Tribolium castaneum: one gene and its partners. The protein of the gene in region 1 binds, or shares a complex with, the protein of each later gene. Links are inferred from orthologs where the notes say so. Each region holds a gene or a part of one and is shown on either strand. Other genes may lie near its edges.

Region 1 (8,766 bases):
TGTTAACCGATTTTTCCCGACCATTGCCATTAACTTGGTTTTTCCGCAAAGATGTCTAGACGATGCCACTTTGCTAAGTCAAAATGTGCCCAAATGCGACCTGACCCACTTCCAAAAATATATGGACGAGGGCGAGAAAACGCTACAAATTAAATGCCAAAAGCGCGCAGTTGCGTACAATGAGACAGTTGATGGGCTTTTGGATGCTTGTATTAATGGAAATTTGTAAGTTTTGTCCCAGTTTGTGAATATGATAATAATTCGTTTAAAGGCACTGGAGGTATCACTCAATGGCTGTTACGTTCCTAAAGGTGTTAGTACACTATGACGTTAAATACAACGTGAGGATAGTGAAGTATTTTCTACAAGCCTTAATAAATGAGTCTATAACCATTAGAAAAACGGCATTAAGAGTCTCTCTGTTTATTTTAATTCAGAATAAACCCAAATTTACGAAAATTGAAATTGATCCCTACGGTTTCTCCAACAGTAAAAGAAATAACCACAAGTTGAGGCCCGGAATAAGAGAAGACAATAAATGGTTATTGTACGACAGTAAAACGGTCCCGAAAGATTCAGAAGCGTGGGAAAAACCGCGATTTTTGCACGATCACAGCATAGGGTATTACGCTTGGCCTACGAAAGTCGAAATATACGCACCCCCAAGCGAACAACCCCACATAGACAAAAGGTTCCCAAAACTGAGCGAAGAGGAAAAAGAGATTTACGAGTTTTTCAGCAATGCGGAAAATTTAGACCAATTCATTAAATATTTCTCAATGGAGGAGAAGAAAGGGAAAGACCAGTTCAACGCTTACAAGTTCCTCCTGTTCAAGGTTAGTTGCGTGTATTTGATTTCTGTTTCATAGAACATTTTTAGAACCTGTTCAAACTTTTCGAAGACAAGCTCCTTGACCCCATCATTCCCCACTTGGAGAAGCTCGTGGCTGATAAAAACGAGTCGTCGCAACGTTGCGCTGCTGAGATAATCAGCGGTTTAATCCGCGGTTCGAAGCATTGGAGTTTTGATAAAATCACCAAACTTTGGTCAGTCCTGATCCCGATCCTCGAAACTGCAGTTGTGAATATGTGTAGCGAAACCATGACCGACTGGGGCCTCAGTATGGCGATGGCTTTGGACTCCAGAGACCCCAACCGCTACCATTGGATCTTGGAATACCTGGTCAAAGATCCACTCTCCGACCAAACATCGTTTGTGGCCTGTGGGCGCCTCCACATGCTCCATGCAGCCCTTAACCAACAAACTTGGAGAAATAACGAACTGTCAGTTCGCTTGTTCGACTACTTCAAACAGCACTTGTCGCACCCTTTCCAGAATATCAGGGACAAAATTAGTAGTTGTCTGACGATGATTTTTTCCAAAGATTTGATTTTCCCCGATGATGCTAACGATACGAATTCGGCGGGAATTAAGGCGTTTTTCAAGGAGATAATGCCCACACTTGACAATTTGTACAGTTACACTTTGAGCAAAATCGAAAGTAAGGATAATCCAATGGATACGTCTGAAGTATCAAAAGATATGCAAGGACTGTCGCTCGAAAACGACGAAGTTCGAGAAAATGCCATGAGGTTGTTCAAACTAGGTAAGAATTACGGAGAACTATAACTTAGGAGACGAAATGAGATCACAGAAATCACAGAACTTTCTGAACTCACGGAGTAGTGCAAATTGGTAAACGTTTGAAATTTTTTTAAATATAGTTTACGATAAATTTTTTGCATTATGTTTATATCTTACTATTAAGAATTTAATGCTTTATCTGCCTCTATTTTTTGTGTGGTATTCATTATACAAATCCAAACATTTTTTCAAATTCATTGCTCTACAAACGTAGACGTACAATGGACGTAATGGAACAACTGCGCTCTATAGCGACATTAACGAAACTATCGAGTACGAAAACATTTTATTTATACGTCGTTTCATACCCCTACCTTAAAATATCCGTAGTAAGAATCTAAAAAATATTCTAGAATGAAAACCAAATCTAGCCGGCGCATCCACCAAAAATGATAGCAGTTATGTGACTGTACGATGACTAATCGGCACTGGTTTAATTTTTCTATTTAAGAATATGTTTTTAGGCTTTTAATTGTTATTTGGAAAATCGGAGCCTTGTGTGATTCTGTAATTGTTTCTAATGTTTTGTTTTGTAATGTAATCAGTCAGGATGCAATAATAAAAGGCATGTTTTCAGTTTCAAAATACGTGACATCGAGTGTTGTAAGAATGAACTACTCCACGCTGCCTGAATATTTCGAGATTTTGCCACTGTCGTGTGTGCTTCAAAGCAACGACACCGACGACGAAATCGCCCCAATTTGCTCGAGTTTGCTCGCAGTTTTGGCCTACACCATAACTATTGACAAATACATGCCTTCGGCCCTTGAAGCAATAAGAAAAGTTGCCACTTGTCCGTTCTGGTCGGCTCGTGCGGTTATAACCGAATTCATGTCCGGTTTTGTATTCCACAATATGCCCACGATTATTTCGAAAAAGGAGTGGGTACTAGATATACAACACATGGTGCTAGAACTACTCGAAGATGTTCAACCTGAAGTTAGAGTTAGTGCTAGTCAAGTTTTAAGCGGTCTTTTGCACTGCCAATTTATTCCAAACCCTCAAGAATTATTAGTAATTATTCGGGTTCTTAGTTTATCGTTAAATAATTCGTGAATTCTAGGCGCAATTTAAACAGAAAGCGAAAACTAAATTGAAGAAGAAAAATTTGAACAATTCAAACAGTTTGAATCTTAGTACTTTAAGATTTAGACATGCTGGAGTTTTGGGCTTGTGTGCTTTTATCAATAGCCATCCATACGACGTACCTGACTTTTTACCGGATGTTTTTGGACAATTAGGACCCCATTTGAACGACCCCCAACCCATTCCTGTGAGTCACACTTTCGTCGTTTAAAAAAATAATTAATAATTTTTAGGCAACAATTCGCAAAACCTTGGGAGATTTCAAGCGAACGCATCACGAAAACTGGGAAATCCACAAACTCAAATTTACTGAGGAAGAACTGTTAGTTTTAAGTGATCTCACAGTGCCTCCCAGTTATTACGCCTAGGCAATAATTTTCCGATTCCAGTCAATTTACAATTTAATTTTTTACTAGACAATAGGTGAAGGAAGGTTTAAGGTAGCAAAAATTTACGCGTCAAATGTTTTTTATTTTTAACCTTGTTCATTATATTTTTTGTGGTTTGATAAAAGTATATTAAGTGAAATGTTTATACATGACTTAATTCATCTAATAAAGCAAGACATTTGTCTTTTAATATTTTAACAGCTTCCATGAATATCACATCAGGTGGTAAAGCCCCCACAGATTCGACCGTAACTAAATTACAATTAATAAAAACTGAAAAAGTAAATAAAAAAAAACTTACAAATGAAATGATCCTGAATTTTGGTCATCGCTACTGCGTCCTTGAGGTCTTCATAACGGAAAACATTCCGACTTCCTGTATCATACCTCGCATTAGCTACAACAGCGTATTTGCGGCCTTTTTCATGTCGGATTGAAATCACACCGGGAGAGAAACATTTTTGGAGTCTCTCAGCTGCTTCACCTTCCACTTCTCGTAATAATTTTATGTCGGGAAGAAGGCGATAAAATGCGGTTGCGACAGGAGAAAATTTCGCATGGTCTCGCCCGTTGCTCTTGACTGCTAATAATTTTAAATCTAACTCATGGCCTGGCCTCATTTTGGCAATGAGAATGTCAGGGTGGATGGGGCCCACGTCACTAAACCGCTCCTTCTGTTTACCAATGGGCACCCATTTGATGTGTTTTGAATACACTAAAATTATTGCAATTTTTATTGTTTCTCAAACGGGGTAATTACCATTATTGTTTTTGTACATATCTTCAGCTCGCAGTGAGTCTTTACTGCTGTCTTTATTATTGGTACATTTAATTTTTAACGCAAACTCTAGAGTATCCTGTTCGGTACCTTCAGCAGTTGCTGTAAAAATATTGTAACGTTTGGAACGGCAACATTACAAGACTTACGATCAGTTTTCATTTCAAATAATCGGGGGTCGGCCTTTAGCGGTATCAGGCCTAAACGATGGGCCAAAACTTCGTCTTGGATTATAGACGTGTTATTAAGAATGTGAACCTTTTCAATGGCCATTGTGGGGACATCACTCAACATTAACCTTCTGAAAGTGTTTGCTAGGAACGGGTGAATCCCTATCAAGTCAAATTCGAGTTCATTCTCTTCACTTCGCACAATCACCACCCTAAATCTCTTCTTAAAGGTTTTCAAGTCCCATTTCTCGTCCAAAACAGTTGGTTCCGAGGGCAAATTCTTCAAAGGATGTTTGAAGGAATTTAATACAAAATAATAAAGGACATACCTGCGTCACTTTATATTCTCCTAAAATCACTCGAGGCTTTTCGTCATTCAGAATATTATCCATTTTAAACTTGTTTCAAAAACTTGGATAACCTCAAACAACGCACGTTTTTCGTAAAAATGACTACCAACCTTACCGTCCTTACCACCCAAAAGCCACTTAAAATGTCAGCTTTTTAGGTTATGTTTTGTGAAAAATATAAACAATTTTTGAAAAATATGACGAAACCCGAATGCTCCAAACAGGAAGCTTCAAACACGAAAAGCAAGGCTGAAAAAGACTCACAAATAAGCACACCTGAAACGGCTAAGGCTCTGTTTGCCGATTTTGTGCCAGAAGAGTCAGACAGCGAAGAAGAAAATGAGAAACAAGACGACAAAAAAGACGAAAATCTTGAACCAGCGTCAAAGAAATCACGAGACAGTAACTCGAAGGTAAGTCACCAGTACACCAAATGAAAAACCAACCACCTTCCCGCAGAAATACATACCAAAGTACAAAAAAGAATGGGAGAATAAACCCGAATTGAAAGCATGGTTATCAGAGAGCATACATGGAAATACGTATTTCTACTGCAAATTCTGTAAAAAGGATTACAGATGCGGGATTTCCGACATTCACAAACACATGTCGTCAAAGAAACATGCCCTCAAAGCGGCAATGCCTGCATTCAAGGCACAGAAATTTAAATTTCGGGGGCTTTTGTGCCCCGTCTTTACCCCATTTACTAACTTAAAAAGAGTGACACCTGATGTAAACCTTAAGGCTATACCAAAATACGCAAATTTTTTAAAAGCTTGCAATATTAAAGGAATTTTAAGTATTTCGCAACTCTAGAAAATGAATTAAATTAAATGGTCAATTTTAGTTAATGACATAACCGGGGAAGGAATGTCCTTAACCATTCATGAAAGAATAGATTTGGCGGACGCGTGGGCTGACGCTTGTGAAAAAACAAATCAGTTTTTGATGGCACAAATCGGGGGAGCCCCCCTCAAAGACGTTATAGAAATGGTAGTTTAAACATTTGTTAAAACTGTTAATATTTTTCATTTGTAGGCAAAACACGCCGCTAAGAGGGACATCGGCGCTGTTGTAATCCTCCCCGACCTTTACAACAAACCAAAAAACCACCTAGACCTAATCAAGTACATAAAATTAATATCAGAATTTACAAAAAACGTCCCCATTCTCTATCACCACAATCCCAAGTTTACGCAAGTTGAAAGTAAGCGTTTCGAACGATGAACAAGACACGAAAAAATTCATTTTTAGTTGATATTACGTCGTTTCTGCTGGATATAACGGGAGAAGTGGATTCGTTTGTAGGCGTCATTTATAGCACGAATGATATACAACAGAGCACCGCTGCTATGGCGGTAAATAGGGAAAAGTTTACCGTTTTTATGGGCACCGACGAAGTAGGGGCTTTATGGCCATATCTCCCACTTAATTTCCACTTTTAGGCAATTTTGGGGGCTGCTGCGAGCGGTTTTACGTGTATTATGGGCACAAGTCTGAACTTTTTACCAAAACTGGTTGAATCCATTTGTGTGGCTGTGCGAGAAGGGGAGATAAAAAGCGCCCAAACGTCACAGAATTTACTCAACAGGACGATAGATGTGATTGCGAAACAAGGTAAAAGAATAGTCCGCTTAACGTGGTTTAATATGTTGTTTAGGCGACTACATAGCGGCCTCAAAGGCTGCAACTGACATCATTACTAGCACTTGCGGCACAACCACCAGAGAGCCTTTGCAGACGTTATGGGAAGGCACGACAAAGAAACTCCAATGCAAATTGCGCGAACTTGGTGTTATGTAAGTCATTTTTATATTTTTACACATTCATTTATAAAACAATAAATTACAAGACTCTACTCGCTTTATTATTCATAAAAACGCAATTAAAATGAAACATCCTGGATATTTCCGTCATTTTATTTACTTAGTGTAATCGCTAAACCTAGAGGGCGATAATTCTTAAACAATTTGTGAAATGTAAATATACAAACGTACAAAATCTAGTCTCCTTTAATATCTTTTTTGCAACGAAACTTGATATACAATTTTTTGTAAACGCCCAACAAAGAATTTTTCAATAATACTTTGGACAAGAAAAACGAAAATAATTTATGTACACAAATAAAACGGACTGATTTCCATCGGGTTGTTCGATTTATCTACTATTAAAAAATGAATAAAGACATAACTAGTTTTTAAAAAATATAAATGAATCGCAATCACAACAAAGAATCCTTGAAACAATACCCTTAATGGCCGTTGAAAACAGTAATTGACATATCATTTTTATGAGAAGGTCTGCAACCGCCATCAAGAATACAATCGTCTTTAATTTAATGTGCACACGTATAAATATACCTATAAATTATCTAAAAAAATACAACGGTAAAAAAAATAATTACCCTTAATCACATAAGTATTATCAAGGTCGCTGACATACCATCCGGTGTTTTGTGAGGGAAAACGGGGCCTTCAAACCGAATCATAAATAACAAAGTATATCATTCACTTGTGCATTTCTCAACGAAAAGTTGGTCCCTTTCGCCTGATTTAAAATTGAACGACTTCGATTAAGTCACAAAACACCGAACGACATGTCGTGCCGACTATTTACACAACACACCACAACCTGATGACCTCTGGTACCAAACGAAGCCTACCACCCTTGAGAAACGACAAGAATCGACTCTCCCTTTAAGGCTGTGATGTGAACGATTAGTATATAAGGGCGTTTAAACTCCGCCGATTGGTCAGAGTAGGGTGCATCGAGACAGCCAATTCGTTGGCTTTCGTTGTGGTTCTGTGGCTTTCAGCTGGTGGCCGCCTTTCGGGGGATTGCTCGCCTCCTAGTCACACAACGGACAAAAATAAAACCGAGAAACAAATAAAAGTAAAGATGAACAGTTAAAGGTGTCTCAAATTCAGTTTTAAGGCTCAAATGAATTCGAATGCAAAAGTAGTACTTTAAAAATATTTCCTCGATGTTATTACATCTTGTTACTAATTAAACGGGCGCTCATAAAATCTGTTAAAAGTAAACAAGTAAACTTTATGTTAGTTTAAGGAATAAGGAATTTTGAAGATGGAAGTGGATATAAACATTAATTTTTTTATTCATTTTATTTCACAAAACATTCCAACATTTCTAGATTAAAAGACTCAAAGGGATCATTATCACCAGATATCAAGATAATTACATAACAAAGTACTTTGGAATGGAAGTAATAATAGCTTTAATGCTCATAAATTTAGATAAGTGGTTTTAACTGATAAAAAATCAATTTGAACAACGAAATTTACACGGAATCACTTATTTTTTAGAAAATTTTTGATCATGAACAACGATTTCTATTTTGAAAACGCCTATCAGAACTTTAGTCTAACTTCAGTTAATGTTCTAGATTTTTTACAGTTAATTGTGCATTAAGAGTTAAGAATTAAAAAACAATAACTTTAATATATTAGTTATTGACACGTATCCATAATTTAATACTTCCACATGCATATCGAGTATCTCATTACGAAGGTTAAATTAATGAAGTATTGATGACTTTTTATGAAACAAGTGCAAAAAAAAACAAATACGTAAGCATTTCAAAAAGAATAATTTATTTGCATAATATTCAGATAGTAAAGAAATAATTAAAACATGTTTTTTTTTCTAAGAATGCACAAACATTAATACATAATTATCATGTAAATTTTTGTGTGGGCCATAAATAATGGGTCAGGTTTGTTCGTGTAATATTTTGTTTTTGATGTAGGAACTGCCACCTACGTTAGCATCGGATTCAACAGTTTGTTTTTTATAATAGTATTTGCAAATTTATGGTTATTTTATTTTTTAATTTAACAAAATCCAAATTTGATTTTCTGTACTGTACTACGGGCCAAAAAATAAATACTTTATGAATACAACTTTTGTTTTAATGTCGAGTACGACTTCATGACTCCCCTTCTAGTTTTATAAATACTGAAATGTGACTTTGTGAGGTAGGCAGTTCTGACAATTTGGTTAAAAACTGCAGCGGACATTATTGTACAATTATTATTTCTCTATTGATCTTTGTTCTTTATTATCTTTTACATATTGAGTCTGTGTAAAGATGAGTAACTGAATATATTATTGAATAGTATTCCAGAGGACATACAATCTGAATTTTAATACTACAGGCTGTCTCAAAATTGGCGAATTTCGAGTTCAGAGCTTAATTGAGGATCCCTCCAGTAGTCCAAATATATAAAAAAAAAGATACATTGGTTTGAAGGTACATTTCAGATGCATTTTGTACTGGGTTTTCTTCCAATGCTGGCTAAAAATTTCAGTGTTTATTATTGTTTATTGT
Region 2 (7,801 bases), on another chromosome or scaffold:
ATGCAGCACAGACAACACGTCCAAGTGTTCATTGATAAGTTTAGGTACAATGCCAACAGAGCGGCCTCAGTGCAGTCAAAAATCAAATTGTTGGATAAATTGTGAGTTTTTCGCCACTTTCAGGAAAATGTATTTTGCTACTGGCGATTTTCAGACCTGAATTGAAGCCAATAGAAAAGGAAACTGCTGTAGTTTTGAAATTCCCAGATACCGAACCTCTCTCACCCCCCATTTTGCAACTTAACGAAGTTTCGTTTGGTTACAACAAAGATAGACTCATATTTACCAACGTTAATCTAGGGGCTACCATGGATTCCAGGATATGTATTGTAAGATTTTTCAAAAAATGCCTTGGTAATTTGTAATCGTAATTTTGAAAAAATGCTTGTTGTATGTTAGGTCGGTGACAACGGTGCTGGTAAAACCACCCTCCTCAAAATCATCATGGGCCTCCTGTCCCCATCTGCGGGCATGCTCCACGTCCATCGAAACCTAAAATTCGGCTACTTCAGCCAGCACCACGTGGACCAACTCGACATGAACGTCAACTCGGTCGAGCTCCTCCAAAGCACATATCCCGGTACTTCCCCAATTTCTAACTCAACAATTTAATAATCCCACAATTTAGGAAAACCAATCGAGGAATATAGACGCCAGCTTGGGAGTTTTGGCGTCTCGGGCGACCTCGCCCTCCAAACCGTCGCCAGTTTATCAGGGGGGCAAAAATCTCGAGTCGCTTTTGCCCGAATGTGCATGGGTAACCCAAATTTCCTCGTACTTGACGAACCCACCAATCATTTAGATATCGAAACAATTGAAGCTTTAGGGAATGCGATAGTCAAATTCACCGTAAGTTAACGCTTTTACCACTTTTGGGTGATCACATTACCACCATACACTTTTTTATTTTTTTACCTCCCTTGTGCTTAATTTTTTCTAGGGCGGTGTGATACTTGTGTCGCACGACGAGCGGCTTATTCGCAAAGTGTGCAAGGAGTTGTGGGTTTGTGGTAATGGCTCTGTGCGAAGTATAGAAGGTTTTGATGAGTACAGACGACTTGTCGAACAGGAACTCGAAAGTCAGTCTAAATAACGAGTTTACTTTTTAATAGAGAAATTTGTATAAATGTGCCTCCTTTGTGGAAAAACTATTTATGATTTTTTGTTATATTTATAATATATTCATGTTTATAACGGTATTAAAATATAGGTCATATTTTGAGAAACTTTATTTTCCTATCAAATTAATAAATAACATCTTGCATAAATCAGTATCACATTAGCCCTTAAATTTAAACCCTGGCGAAGTCCCGTATGAGAATTTCTGCGTTTTTGAGTTAAAGTCATTCTCGAGGAAATCGTCAACGTCCCCAATTTCCCTCATTTCTGAATCGTTTACCTCAAAACTCACCTCCTTGTAGTCCCGATAAAACGGGTGCACTTTCGCACTCGACCTGCAATTAAAACAGTCAGGGGAATCCCCCAAAAAACGGTGCAACGAACCTTGATAAAACAAAAGGATCAAACGGGTAACACGCCTCTAGGACGTTACTTGAAACTGTCACAAAACCTTTCTCGTCTCTATAAACAGTCGGTAAAGTGTTCCTCGAATTGTGTTCAATGATTGAGTAACAATAGGCTAGTTGGTACTTTCGGGTAATAGCAGCGAAATTTTGCACGACTGCAGGTTGGCAAACCCGCAACGGGTTTAACCGACTGGTTACGATTTTCGCCAAGTTCAGACTCTCCAAAAATACGACATCTGTAATCAAAGTTGTGACAATGTTCGAGTAAAAAAATCATTACTTTTTTTTGTGTTGACTAAATCCTTGTGCCGGAACGAAATCACATAAAAGAGGGCTTGACACACTGTGTAGAAGACAGAGTGGAGCCTTAGGTCCGAATTGACGCACTCTAGGCCGTCCTGAGTGGCGATATACGAGTGGATCCATTCGGCCATTTGTTGCAAAGTCCCCTTCAACATGCTGCAATTTTCCATTAAACTGGGGCATAAAAAATTGAAAAAATCTTACGTAAGGGGGACGAAAGTGGCTCTCGCTATAAAACTGACAATATAATTAACCGCCGCTTGTCTAATCACCGACGCGACGTTCGGATTGCACACCTTCTTCCACAAGTAATTAAAAAACGCCTCCGTTAACGTCGTTTTAAAGGAACACAGCACAAACATAACAAACTGGACGTGATGAGTATTGTAAGTTGGCAGGATCGACTGATCAAAGACCGTCAAAATATCCTGGTATAAAGACTTGGTTTTGCCCCAATTCAAGTCATTAGTGCCCGGCTCATGGCACTCGGAGTAAATGTAATTGAACACTTTATCCAGGCAAACGTCCAAAGTGTGTGCCATTGAATGGACGCAGTCCAGATTTATCGTAGTGTTTGTTTTGCTCTCGTCCATCATGAAAATTTCCTCCTCTTCAAGTTTCGCGATTTCCTCGCGGGGCGCACTCACGTCCATGATGATCAGTTTTGAGAAAATTAAGTGGAGGATGTTGGGTCTGAGAGTGGGCTGGTAGCAGATGACCCAGAGGAGGTTCTGGATGTAGTATTCGTGGATGTGGGTCGATTTGTTCATGTAAGGGAAGTGGTCGATCAGGGCGTGGATTAGCAATTCGTTGCACCTGAAATGCCCATTAGCACAGATTTAATTTATAAACTATTTTATAGAGAAAATTGCTTATTACTCTAGATAATTACATCCGGAAAGTACCTGAGACTTGAAAAATTACTTACAAAGGGACTGTTCTTAGAAGTTCACAGAGGAGGGAGTGGACGTGTTGGCACTTCAGAATATCCGTTTTACTGGGGGTTCCATTTTCCCATTCAGGGTCTGTTAGAGCTAAATAATTCACTGGTAATTAACTGGTGATTAGTTACTTTACCAAACTTACGGGGAAAAAACAATGTGACTAATTTATTTATCACAAAATCTGCGTGATAGTTATGTGCAGCGACTAAGTTCGCAATAAATGACTGATACTCCTTAACTACATTTTCGTTTCTTTCGATCCAGTCAACTGAAAGGAGTGCTTCTACAAAAAGACGTAACTCCTGCTTCATTATTGAAATACACTCAGTCGCTTCCTTCAACAGTGAGGAAATATCGTCATCAAACAGTTCGGCATCGCGAATTAGGCACACTAAATTTTCATAATCCTTTGCATTTCCGTGTTTGATGTAGTCCTTCAATATGTGGCGCACTTTTTTAGAGTGTGGTAAAATAAATCGGACTTTAGTGGGTGTGTTCACTTTCAAGGAGCGGTTTAATGTCGATTTGAGACTTGGGGTTTTCTTCAGGATCGAGGAAGGGGTCGTTGACTTCGTGGGGGCCGAGAATAAAGACATAATGATCTGAAATTTGTTTGTTTTTTCTGAAAAAATGATAAATATGGCACTTACATAAATTAAAGCAACGGTTCAGTCACAGTCAATCAATAAAAACAGTATTTCACAATGTTATTTAAATCACATCTTTTACAGGTTAGGAGAAAAACGTGTGGTTTGACGTCTGCGTCTAGGGTTATTTGTTGTGGCTTTTCGAAGTTGCTTGGTTGGCAAGGCTACTATTTAAATTTTGAGCCGGGCTAATTTATTAAAATAAATTAAAAGTAAAATCAGTACAAGATGTTAATATCACCTATTCAAAAGCATTTCACGAACCTACTGAAATAAAAAACAGTGAAATTGGAACATTGTACCAGTAAATTCGTTGAAAATATTATAGATTTTAATGTAGAAACTTTTCTAAAAATAAATTATTGAAAACTAACCCTTTAATCCGGGTTGTTTTCTCTTTTCCCCTTAAAAATCCCTTTCAATAGCACACACTAACCGCGATCAGCACGCACTAGTCAACGAATTTGGAACTTTTAATCCGCAAAAATTCTTTCACAAAACAGTAAGTCATAAAGTGAGTAAAATTAAACGACACGGCAACAAGTACGACACCAACAAAAAATATAATCTGTGAGGTAACTTATTGTTACAAGATGGGAACAAGGAGGTTTGTCTAATGTATTGATTTTTGTCATTTAACGTTTTTTTTGATCTGAAAAACACAAGGAGGCACATTTTTAAGGTCCAACCCGACAACCACAGAAGTTCATCTCTTAAGCAAATAATTTCAGCCAAACATTTTAGTGAAATCTTCACAGGATTCACAATTAAAACAAATCCACTTTGTAAGAACAAACTTACTCTCGAAAACTAAAAGAATTCGATTATTTTTAACTCAGCATACTTAAGCAGGTATTAATTTTTTTTTGAATAAGATTCTTTACATGATATAGGGGCAGAGCCGGATCGAGGGCACTTGCCTCAGATGATCTTTGGGAAAGGGAAAAAAACAACAGAAATAATCACCTCTGATTTCTCTTTTCCAGCAGTTATGGAACAATGTAAAAAACCTTGATGGTTAGTACTTTCCTGTTTAAAAAAGTGCTGTTTAAATGTTAACAGCACGCGCTGTGTGTAACCAATATTGTCAAAAAGACTCTGAAGAACGAATTTATAAAGGAAAAATAATTGAATGGTAGTTTCAAATTAATATCATAATTTATTACGTCTACATTTTATAAATGAGTAAAAAAACTCTTTAACAACAACAAGGACGCTACTTAATACTAATGAGCGAGTATTATATGTCGTCATTTGTAATTAGAGTAGGAGAGTTTCCTCCGAATAGTTGGTAGACTCAAGTCTTAACCATTCTTTCAATATCAGTTTCAGTAGGTACTCTAATTGTAATGAATTCAAATGATCACTTGGTACACAACCGTCCTTACGTCTAATGATATGTGAATGAACAAATAACTTAAGATTATTACTTAAAATAATACTGTTGTGTCTACACATCTACACACCCAATCACACTCTTAACTAACCCCATTGTACTTAATCTCTTTGTCATTTATCCTAAACCCATTAACAAACTCTTGTTTGTCAATAAAAACCTCATCGGGCTCATCTGGCAGCATCGTCGTGTCCTCAACCAGCGTGTCCTCCTCATCCGAATCCGCCACAAGAATGGGCGTCGCCCCGTCGCACAAATTCGACCGACTCAAAGTCCTCTGGTACATCTCCTTCGAAATGCTCCTGGTGAACGAGAACCGCTTCGACTTCTGTCTCGTGAGCGGCGGCCGCTCCTTGGCCCCCGTCGCCAGCGTTTCAACAGCGAACTCCTTGATCACCTCCCACGCATAATCAACGTCCTCCTCTTTGGCATGCTCCGCGTCCACACAGAACCGGATAATGTACTTGTTCCGGACCACCGACGGTGTCATGTGAATCTTCCCAGAGGCGTTGATCATCGCTAGCAGCTTCTGGTTGGCGGCATCGCACGCCATCAACCGGAAACACACAAGGCCCAGCCTCACGTCATTCACGACCTCGAACCGGGTGTCCTGCAGGACCAACTGTTCGAAGTGTTTGGCCAGTTTGATGTGGTTCCGGATGTAGGCCCGGAGGCCGCTTAAGCCGTACTTCCGGATGACGAACCACAGTTTCAAGGAGCGGAACCGCCGGCTTAGGGGAATCCCCCAGTGCCTGTAGTCGATGGACTCGTCAGCGTTGGCGTGCTGCAGGTACAGGGGGTCCACCACGAGGGCGTGCGTTAGTCGAATCCGGTCCCTGACCCACAAGCAGGAACAGTCGAAATTAACCAAAAGCCACTTGTTCGGATTCGTGTTAAAACTATCAGCGTAGTCGATCCCATTGAGTAAATACTTCAATTCGGGACAAATAAACCCGTTTCCGGCGTAGGCCGCGTCCACGTGCAACCAACACCGCTTCTGTTCCTTGCAAACCGGCCCGATCTCCTCCAGATTGTCGAAGGAGCAGGAGGCAGTCGAGCCCAAAATCGCCGAAACGAAAAACGGGAACAAACCCTTCTCCTTGTCCTTCTCCATCTCCTCCCGGAGTTTATCGCCCCGTAAGCTCCCGTTTTCGTCAGGATCCAGGATTCGCAGCTTGACTAGGAGGATTTTCGCAGCTTTTTCCACGCAGGAGTGGGCCTCTTTGGAGCAATAGCCGACTAGTTTCGGGAGGAAGGCGCTGTCCTCCATTTGGGGGTTTTCCGTTTTGAGGTATTTGATGGCCTGGTTGCGGGCTGCCAGCATGGAGACTAGGACGCACTCGCTGGCGGAGGTCTGGATGACGCCGCCGCCGGTGCTGCCCTCCGAGGAGGTGATGAAGTCGGAGGGGAGGCCGATGGCTTTGCCGAACCAGTCCATGACGATGGTCTCCAGCTCCGTGCAGGCGGGACTAGCGGCCTGGAATAAAGCGAAATAGTCGTTTACCAAAGGAAATGTCAAATAAACGGCAATAAAACAATAATAAAGCAACAGTAAAGATCTCAACGGAAAATATTAAAATTGCCATAAATGTTTTAATGTACAAATAAATGATACTTCAAAGAAATGCATAAAGACACAGTTACAATAAGATCGCAGATTTTTCTACATTTTTTTTTAATTTTAACTATAGAACATACTCACCAATTCTGTAAAAAAGCAGACTGAACGAAATAAGACAAAATAACTTATTTTTCTTATTTTTGCATAAGTAGAGCTATTTTTTGTTCAAACTAGAAGCGTAAAGGAAACTATTGCAAAAAAACATAGTGAGAACTTGTTTTGTGATTTTCTGTAACGAGAATAAATCTTTGAAATGAGAAAATTATTTTATTTATAATAATTTTTTTTTATTCTGCAAAATCCGGCACTAATCTAAATAATGAAAAGTGAGTATTTACTAAAAATCAAATGGTTTTAAAATAAGAGAAATTTTATCGTCTAGAGAAATATGGTTCATATAATTGTCAATCAAAATAAATAAAAAAAAATTCAATCGACATATGGAGAATTGTATAGTACACCGACGATAAAATGCACCATTATCTTCCCAAGCGTTTCAACCTGGAGGCGTAGGCCGCTGCCGAAGATACGCCTTGTGTAATAAATAACTATTACATTAGTTTATAGTATATCTGTGGCCTCAGATTTTTTTGTTGTTAAGAAATTTTTGGACGCAGATTTCAAAACTGCAAGCAGATTTTTTCTATCAGCTCTACTTTTTGAAACATTTTTAAAAAAAGGACGTAACTTTTACTCATTTACTTCCTCGTTGTCTCCGGTTTTATTTGGTGATGTTTAGTAATTGTTGAACTAAAGTGATGTATAAACTTTCATTAAAATTAATTAAATTCAAGACTGAAGATTCTAGTTTTTTACAATAGAGGTATAATAAAAAACACACTTCTTGGTAGTCAATAATATTTGCTATCCCATGTTTGATTTACAAGCAAAATTTTAGTTTAATTTTGCCAGTGTTTGTTTATAATTGCACGTGGTATGAAGTGCAACTTCTGATTGGCTGTTTTTTCCAACAAAGTAAACAATAAAAGAACAAACAAAAAGTCATTCAGCCATCTCATGATGTAATTTTTCGTCGTGTTTTGCAACATTGCCGGAATTGAATTTTTCAATCATGGCAATTAGACTGATGTTAGCGTGAGGCTGTGTCATTTTAATTCAATCTGAAGGCGATAATAATGAGCGAAATTCAAGTTTTATTTTCGTCCATCTCAATTCCCGAGAGTAATTTAATTTTAGACAGGTATCGTGTCAATTGCTCGAATTGATGCGACCAAATTAAAATAATTGACGTCAATGAGTGAAAGTTGTCGAAGGATTTCATGAAGCCCCCCAAGATCGGAAAAGCCTTAGCGTGCGTAGGCAGATACGTGTTATGCCAGTGGAAAAATATAAACAAAGTGGAA
Region 3 (6,064 bases), on another chromosome or scaffold:
AGAACCGGGATATTATCGGGGTTGCGGAGACCGGTTCGGGCAAAACGCTTGCGTTTTTGATCCCGCTTTTATCCTGGATTCAATCGCTCCCGAAAATCGAACGCACTGAAGATGCCGATCAGGGCCCCTATGCCATTATTTTAGCCCCCACGCGTGAATTGGCCCAACAGATCGAGGAGGAGACGGTGAAGTTTGGCCAACCGTTGGGGATCCGCACTGTGGTGGTTGTGGGCGGTTTAAGTCGCGAGGAGCAAGGTTTTAGGCTGCGAATGGGGTGCGAGATTGTTATTGCAACCCCGGGACGACTTATTGATGTTTTGGAAAATCGCTACTTGGTCCTGAACCAGTGCACGTACATTGTTATGGACGAAGCCGATCGCATGATTGATTTGGGATTTGAGGCAGATGTGCAAAAAATTTTGGAGTACATGCCGGTCACTAACTTGAAACCGGACTCGGAAGAAGCGGAAGATAGTAAAATAATTTTGGCGAATTACAACAGTAAGAAGAAATATCGGCAAACGGTGATGTTTACGGCAACTATGCCACCGGCGGTTGAGCGACTGGCGAGGACGTATTTGAGACGTCCGGCGGTTGTGTACATTGGTTCGATCGGGAAACCGACGGAACGGGTCGAACAAATTGTGCATATTATGACTGAGAACGATAAGAGGAAGAAGTTGATGGAGTATTTGTCCAAAGGGGTCGATCCACCGATTATTATTTTTGTTAATCAGAAGAAAGGGGCCGATGTTTTGGCCAAAGGGTTGGAGAAGTTGGGCTACAATGCGTGTACGCTCCATGGGGGTAAGGGGCAGGAGCAGAGAGAGTACGCACTGGCTAGTCTCAAGTCGGGGGCTAAGGACATTTTGGTGGCCACTGACGTGGCTGGGAGAGGGATTGATATTAAGGATGTTTCCGTTGTTATTAATTACGACATGGCCAAGACTATTGAAGGTAAGATAAGTTTGTCCCAGATTTTTTTTCTTTATGACTAGTGCAAACTGAAGAAAAAAGGAAATCTAATCTGTAATTTGTTTATTTTTTTTCAGATTACACCCATCGTATTGGCCGAACCGGCCGTGCCGGGAAGAGCGGGGTGGCTATCAGTTTTTGCACCAACGACGACTCGGCCCTATTTTACGATTTGAAGCAAATGTTGCTATCGTCACCTGTCTCAACGTGCCCCCCTGAACTAATGAACCACCCTGAATGCCAGATTCGGCCCAATCAGCCGAAACGCCGCCGCGACGAAATGATTTTCGCTTAATTAAAATAAAACTCGATGTTTACTTAGCCTTTATTCTTAAAAACAAAATCTTATTACACTAGTGGTCAATTATTATGAGTTCGTCTATGCCCCAATCCTCGTACGAGTGGTCGGGTAAATAACGCCGGATTATGATGGGGATTTTCCGTTGTTTGAGTTCTTTCATTGCGATTTGAAGCGGGTCTGTCTCTCCGTCTAGTTCCACCATAACTGGGGCACACATGGCGATTTGCAAAGCTCTTGTTCCCAAAACACGAGCTCTTTCGTATTTGGTCATGTATTTGGTTGTTATGCGTTTGTTTTTGGGCACTCCGCCCCCGGCTTGGCCATGAGCGAGGATGTCGATGTTGTCGCCTTCCTCCTCGGGCTGCTCCAGCTCCTCGATGTTGTCGTCATCGACGTCGTCGTCGAAGTCGTCCCCCACGTCATCACCGTCGAATTCTTCGTCATTCATTCTCGATTTCTAGCTAATTGACTAATTTAAAGGCATACACAAACATAGCACAACGTTCAGATGTCAAATGCGTCAAACGTCAAAAGTATTGGTTATTGGAGAGTTGCACGAAAGTGCATCAGTCCGAAACTTGTTATCGGTTCAAACAATACTTTTACTTTAGTGTATTGTTGGTTGCGTCGCAGTTGCGATAAAAACTTTTTTTGATGAAATTTTGATTGTTACGATTTTTTTAAGTTTAGTTAACAATTTGGTGCGAAAAAAATAAAACACATTAAATTCAAGCAACTTTATTGTATAAAATAATTGCATTTGTTCCAGACTTTATAAAATACCGTCTTGTCTATTATAGTGGCGGTCAGCTCGATTTGCGTGTGCGTCAATTTCATTTTTTCATTACCAACACAAAGCTATAAAAATTGTCAAAAACAATGCAAATTTAAACAGCTAAGGGCTATCTAAGGGTGGTATCCTTGAACATTAATTGACATTGACAGTAAATTATAGACGTCGTCGCATCGTTGTCGAAAGTGTGTGTTATCGGTGTTAATCGTAAGTATTTTCTGTTCGTTTATTGTGTTTTGTGATTTGCGTTTCGTTAGGTTTTTGATTCTGCGTTTATTAGTTCTTGTTTTGTGAATCTGTATTTTTTGTAACAACTTCGTAACCTCAAAAAATATTTGATAGTTTGTCACCGCTATGCCCCTGCTGTGTAAACGTAGTGAGAGAAATGTCAGATGACGCACACGCAAATGGAGCTGAGCGCACCATTGCAGTTTTGTCTAGAAATGGTAAAAATAACTGCGATTTATTGCGATGTTTAAATCACAGTGTTTGTCTAGTTAACAAACCATTTTTTGTGGTAGTTTCTAGCGTACGACTGCTTATTGATTAATTGAATAAAACGCAGACGGAGCTCGTCATAAAGCTCAAATAATTAAATAATTGCAAACAAGTTGAGAATTAAAAACCTTAGCCTAGTCATAAGTCGTACAAATTACCCTACTGGGTGTTAAGCGTGTTTGTAATGATAATGATTCATAAAGTACCTAAATCAGGCACTCTAACTACTTTGGTAGTGCGTGTAGATTATCCCTGGAGTGTTTAAGACTAGCTTCAATAAATCTAAAATTGATCAAATCATTAGGCTAAATTGTAAGAACTATTAAACATTTAAAAAATTGGCCCAAGGCCCATCGCTTGGTCCCCAATGGTTAACATGATTTTGTAACAATAAAAGTACATTACATTCGTTGTCCAATCTTAAAATCAGGCACTTGATTATGTATTTATTGAATCGAACAAAACGTGGTGTTCTCTATCACCAATAAATCGCTAAATCAACTAAATGAACTTTTGGCAATTATTCCACAGACACGTAGAACTAACAAAACAAACCCCATTCATAACAAAGACAAAAATATCACGTGCCCTTTTGCGCCCACTTCATATCATCAGCCCGCGGTTTGTAGCCCGTGGTGTGTTCAATCAGCAGCTCTAGGATGCTCCAAAAGCGCAGCTTCTCCAACGGCCAATTGAGCCACCCGGTGGTGATGCAAAAGTAGGTCTCATGCGGGGCCACATGGTGGATGCGGTGGTGGCGCCTCGGCAGAATCACATGGTGCTCCTGCAGCCACACCACCCACGCCGGCAGCCCGAAGTAGGTGTGCGACCACTTGTGTATCTGGAAAGTGGCTCCAATCAGCAAATGAACTCAGATTTATCGGGCGCGTTACCCCAGGTGTGCGTGTTTGCCACGGGCCCTATCATTTTATAAAGTATTATATCGCGAGCTGATCTAAAAGCGCACACACGACCCGAGGAATTAATTCGAATCAATAATTAACTCTACCTGATTGGTCATTGCCACGAAAATCGCCAACAGAAACACGTAGCAATTCCACGTGAACTTCCTCTCGACCCCGTCCGCAGGCAGCGTCAGAAAATCCCAAACCATCCTCGCCAGAAACGGAATGGTCACCATGAAGTTATCACCGTTGGTTTCGATAAAGTCGTGGCGGGTGATGGACGTCGGATCGATGTGGTGTTCGCGGAACGGCCGCAAAAAATTCTACACAAAATTTAAAATATCAAACATTTCGCTCTCCACTCACTTTGCCCAAGATGGGGAGCTCCACCGAGCCCCACGTGTCGGCCGCCCAGTGCACGAGTCCCGAGCCGAAATCCGCCGTCACAATGCCGCAAAACGCCGCCACCAAAATCGTGCTCAAGTTGTCCATACGGACGTGGAATATTATGAAGAAGAAGTTGACCACCATAAGGGTCAAGCAGATTCCCACGCAGATGCATTCCTGAGTCCGCTTCCCTGCAAAAAGGGAGCGGTGTGACTCGGCTAATTACACTTGGGCCCAGTATTAGTGTAAACTAGGAGGAATATTAAAAATAATCGAGTTTAATGGGTCATCGGAATAATATGAAATGTCATCAATGCATAATAAACGAACTTGTGCTAAGTAATATCGACGACAAGATCGATTCTTCCTAAATAAGCACCTATCAGAATAAAACACACTGTCGATTAGACAAACACATCAATAAAACACGAATTAAAGTGGCATTTTTTACGTTTTAACGCTCACTATAGCGTGAAACTACAATGATTCATTTTCGCGAGATATTATGTCATCGAGAGGTGGTTTCCTTTTTTGTACCTTGACGTAATTTCGTAACGGATTTATTACCACTCGAGTGATAATTTAATTTTGCCAAAAACTTACGAATGATAACACGTTTCTGTTCTAAATCCGAATATTTAAACACATTTCTTGAACATGTTACGACTTATTTTATGTAAATTTAGTTAAAGGTGAAGTAGCTTCGTACGTACAGATTGACACGTATCTGCATGATGCTTTGTGTCGTTGCAAATCTTTTATTGTATTGTAATTACACGTAACCGCAAGCTAAGTTAAGCAAAAAGGTTAATCTAAAGCAAACGTTAGTGATGATAACAAGGCCTCACTTTTCAGCATTAATTCCTCTATGGAGACATAATTTAAATTTTCTCATACAACATGTATGAATGTAAAAAACACGACAACTAACTGTACATAACTATATATAACTATTTTTCGTAAAACTGAAATAATTTAATACAACTGCCAACTTCAGCAAAACCTATTACGGTAATCCACAAGGGAAATCTTATTTAATTATAGATTAGCTGGACACAACCGTCAGCAAAAAACAAGTTTTGTGGTAGAAAATTTCAGAATTTATTCTTTTTTAATCATTTCTTACAAAATTTTGGTTTTTGAAAAAAATTAACACCTGTATTTGTGCAGTGACTAATTTTGTGCTACAGATGTTGCTATTTACGGAAAAAACGGAAAGTTAATTACTTAAAATACGATTATTTTTACACACTTGGCATTTTTCATGGTGATTATAGTCGACTGAAATTATCTAGCAGATTAATCACCCTCTAATGACGTATTAAAACACGCCTTTATTTTGCAAACCTTGGTAGTAAAATTTTATTGTACCACTTGAACATAGAATTGAAAAAACCACCACTTGTTTTAGTTCTAATTCTATTTAAGGAAACAATCCCAAATGATTGTTATCAAGGAATGAGTTTCAGTTCAATTATTTTTCCAAATGCGTTGCGATTAAAGGTAATTTGTTAAATTATAGCGATTCTTTTATTTTATTTTGTTAGGATTCTTTAATGAGAAAAATTCTCCACGAACTTGTTACGTTAATAGGGACTAAAGCCAGGTATTAGGGATAATAATACAACCCGGAAGCGCATCAAAAATAGCCAAATTTTTAAATCGGGGAATAAATCATTTTATTGACAATAATCACGTTTTAGTAATTTTGATGTGGGCTGTTGTTTAAGAAAACGTCAGTGTAATAATTTTGATGACCTGTCGAAAGAATGCTAACATCTGCCAAATATTAGCGAATAAAATGTCACTTAACAATTCCAGAAATAGTTCGTTTTTGCGCAATTTTACGTGCTCTAAATAAATAAACATCACATCACTGCAGTGACAAATTGTGTAAAAACTTTTAAGTTTTTTTCACCGATCGATCCTTTGCAAACGCCATTCTCACTCAATATTAGTTCAATTCCAACGTTATTTGTCTCACAACCAGCACATGTGCAATAACATTCTTTCATTAAAGCGTTAATAGATCTAGGACATGAAAGAATTTGAACTATTTTTTAATCTAAAACAAGCAAAATATCGCCATACCAACCGTATCTAAAACACGTAATTATACCTTAATTACGCCAAATTCTCATTAAAAAACAAAAGACAGACGAAAGATAAACCTAGACAAGCACGTGTATTTAAATAAATTTTTCT

What was found. The genes of interacting proteins can lie anywhere in the genome.
Region 2: Polr1C (region 1) and Tif-IA share a complex: the UniProt entries of both Homo sapiens proteins name them as parts of the pol I pre-initiation complex. The link is inferred for Tribolium castaneum from reciprocal best matches to the Homo sapiens genes POLR1C and RRN3.
Region 3: Polr1C (region 1) and Polr2F share a complex: the UniProt entries of both Homo sapiens proteins name them as parts of the pol I pre-initiation complex. The link is inferred for Tribolium castaneum from reciprocal best matches to the Homo sapiens genes POLR1C and POLR2F.

The regions. Positions count from the first base shown.
Region 1 is NC_087396.1:18,338,197-18,346,962, reverse strand, and holds Polr1C (DNA-directed RNA polymerases I and III subunit RPAC1), read right to left. Parts: upstream 4,573-8,766; 5' UTR 4,461-4,572; coding exon 4,398-4,460; intron 4,349-4,397; coding exon 4,048-4,348; intron 4,001-4,047; coding exon 3,881-4,000; intron 3,836-3,880; coding exon 3,422-3,835; intron 3,373-3,421; coding exon 3,263-3,372; 3' UTR 3,182-3,262; downstream 1-3,181. Other genes in the region: proteasome activator complex subunit 4, read left to right, coding at 1-225, 272-836, 881-1,607, 2,223-2,659, 2,709-2,918, 2,965-3,099; N-acetylneuraminate lyase A, read left to right, coding at 4,580-4,831, 4,878-5,217, 5,266-5,411, 5,457-5,625, 5,673-5,818, 5,864-6,035, 6,079-6,221; Rab8 (ras-related protein Rab-8A), read right to left, coding at 7,171-7,266. UniProt on the Homo sapiens protein: DNA-dependent RNA polymerase catalyzes the transcription of DNA into RNA using the four ribonucleoside triphosphates as substrates.
Region 2 is NC_087395.1:22,073,472-22,081,272, reverse strand, and holds Tif-IA (RNA polymerase I-specific transcription initiation factor RRN3), read right to left. Parts: upstream 3,583-7,801; 5' UTR 3,424-3,582; intron 3,376-3,423; 5' UTR 3,370-3,375; coding exon 2,916-3,369; intron 2,864-2,915; coding exon 2,758-2,863; intron 2,646-2,757; coding exon 2,034-2,645; intron 1,986-2,033; coding exon 1,807-1,985; intron 1,763-1,806; coding exon 1,504-1,762; intron 1,455-1,503; coding exon 1,280-1,454; 3' UTR 1,212-1,279; downstream 1-1,211. Other genes in the region: ATP-binding cassette sub-family F member 3, read left to right, coding at 1-101, 155-329, 400-580, 629-849, 941-1,093; tyrosine decarboxylase, read right to left, coding at 4,899-6,293. UniProt on the Homo sapiens protein: Required for efficient transcription initiation by RNA polymerase I (Pol I). Required for the formation of the competent pre-initiation complex (PIC).
Region 3 is NC_087398.1:1,178,958-1,185,021, reverse strand, and holds Polr2F (DNA-directed RNA polymerases I, II, and III subunit RPABC2), read right to left. Parts: upstream 1,725-6,064; coding exon 1,329-1,724; 3' UTR 1,283-1,328; downstream 1-1,282. Other genes in the region: probable ATP-dependent RNA helicase DDX23, read left to right, coding at 1-957, 1,053-1,270; Kua (plasmanylethanolamine desaturase 1), read right to left, coding at 3,148-3,408, 3,577-3,795, 3,839-4,050. UniProt on the Homo sapiens protein: DNA-dependent RNA polymerase catalyzes the transcription of DNA into RNA using the four ribonucleoside triphosphates as substrates.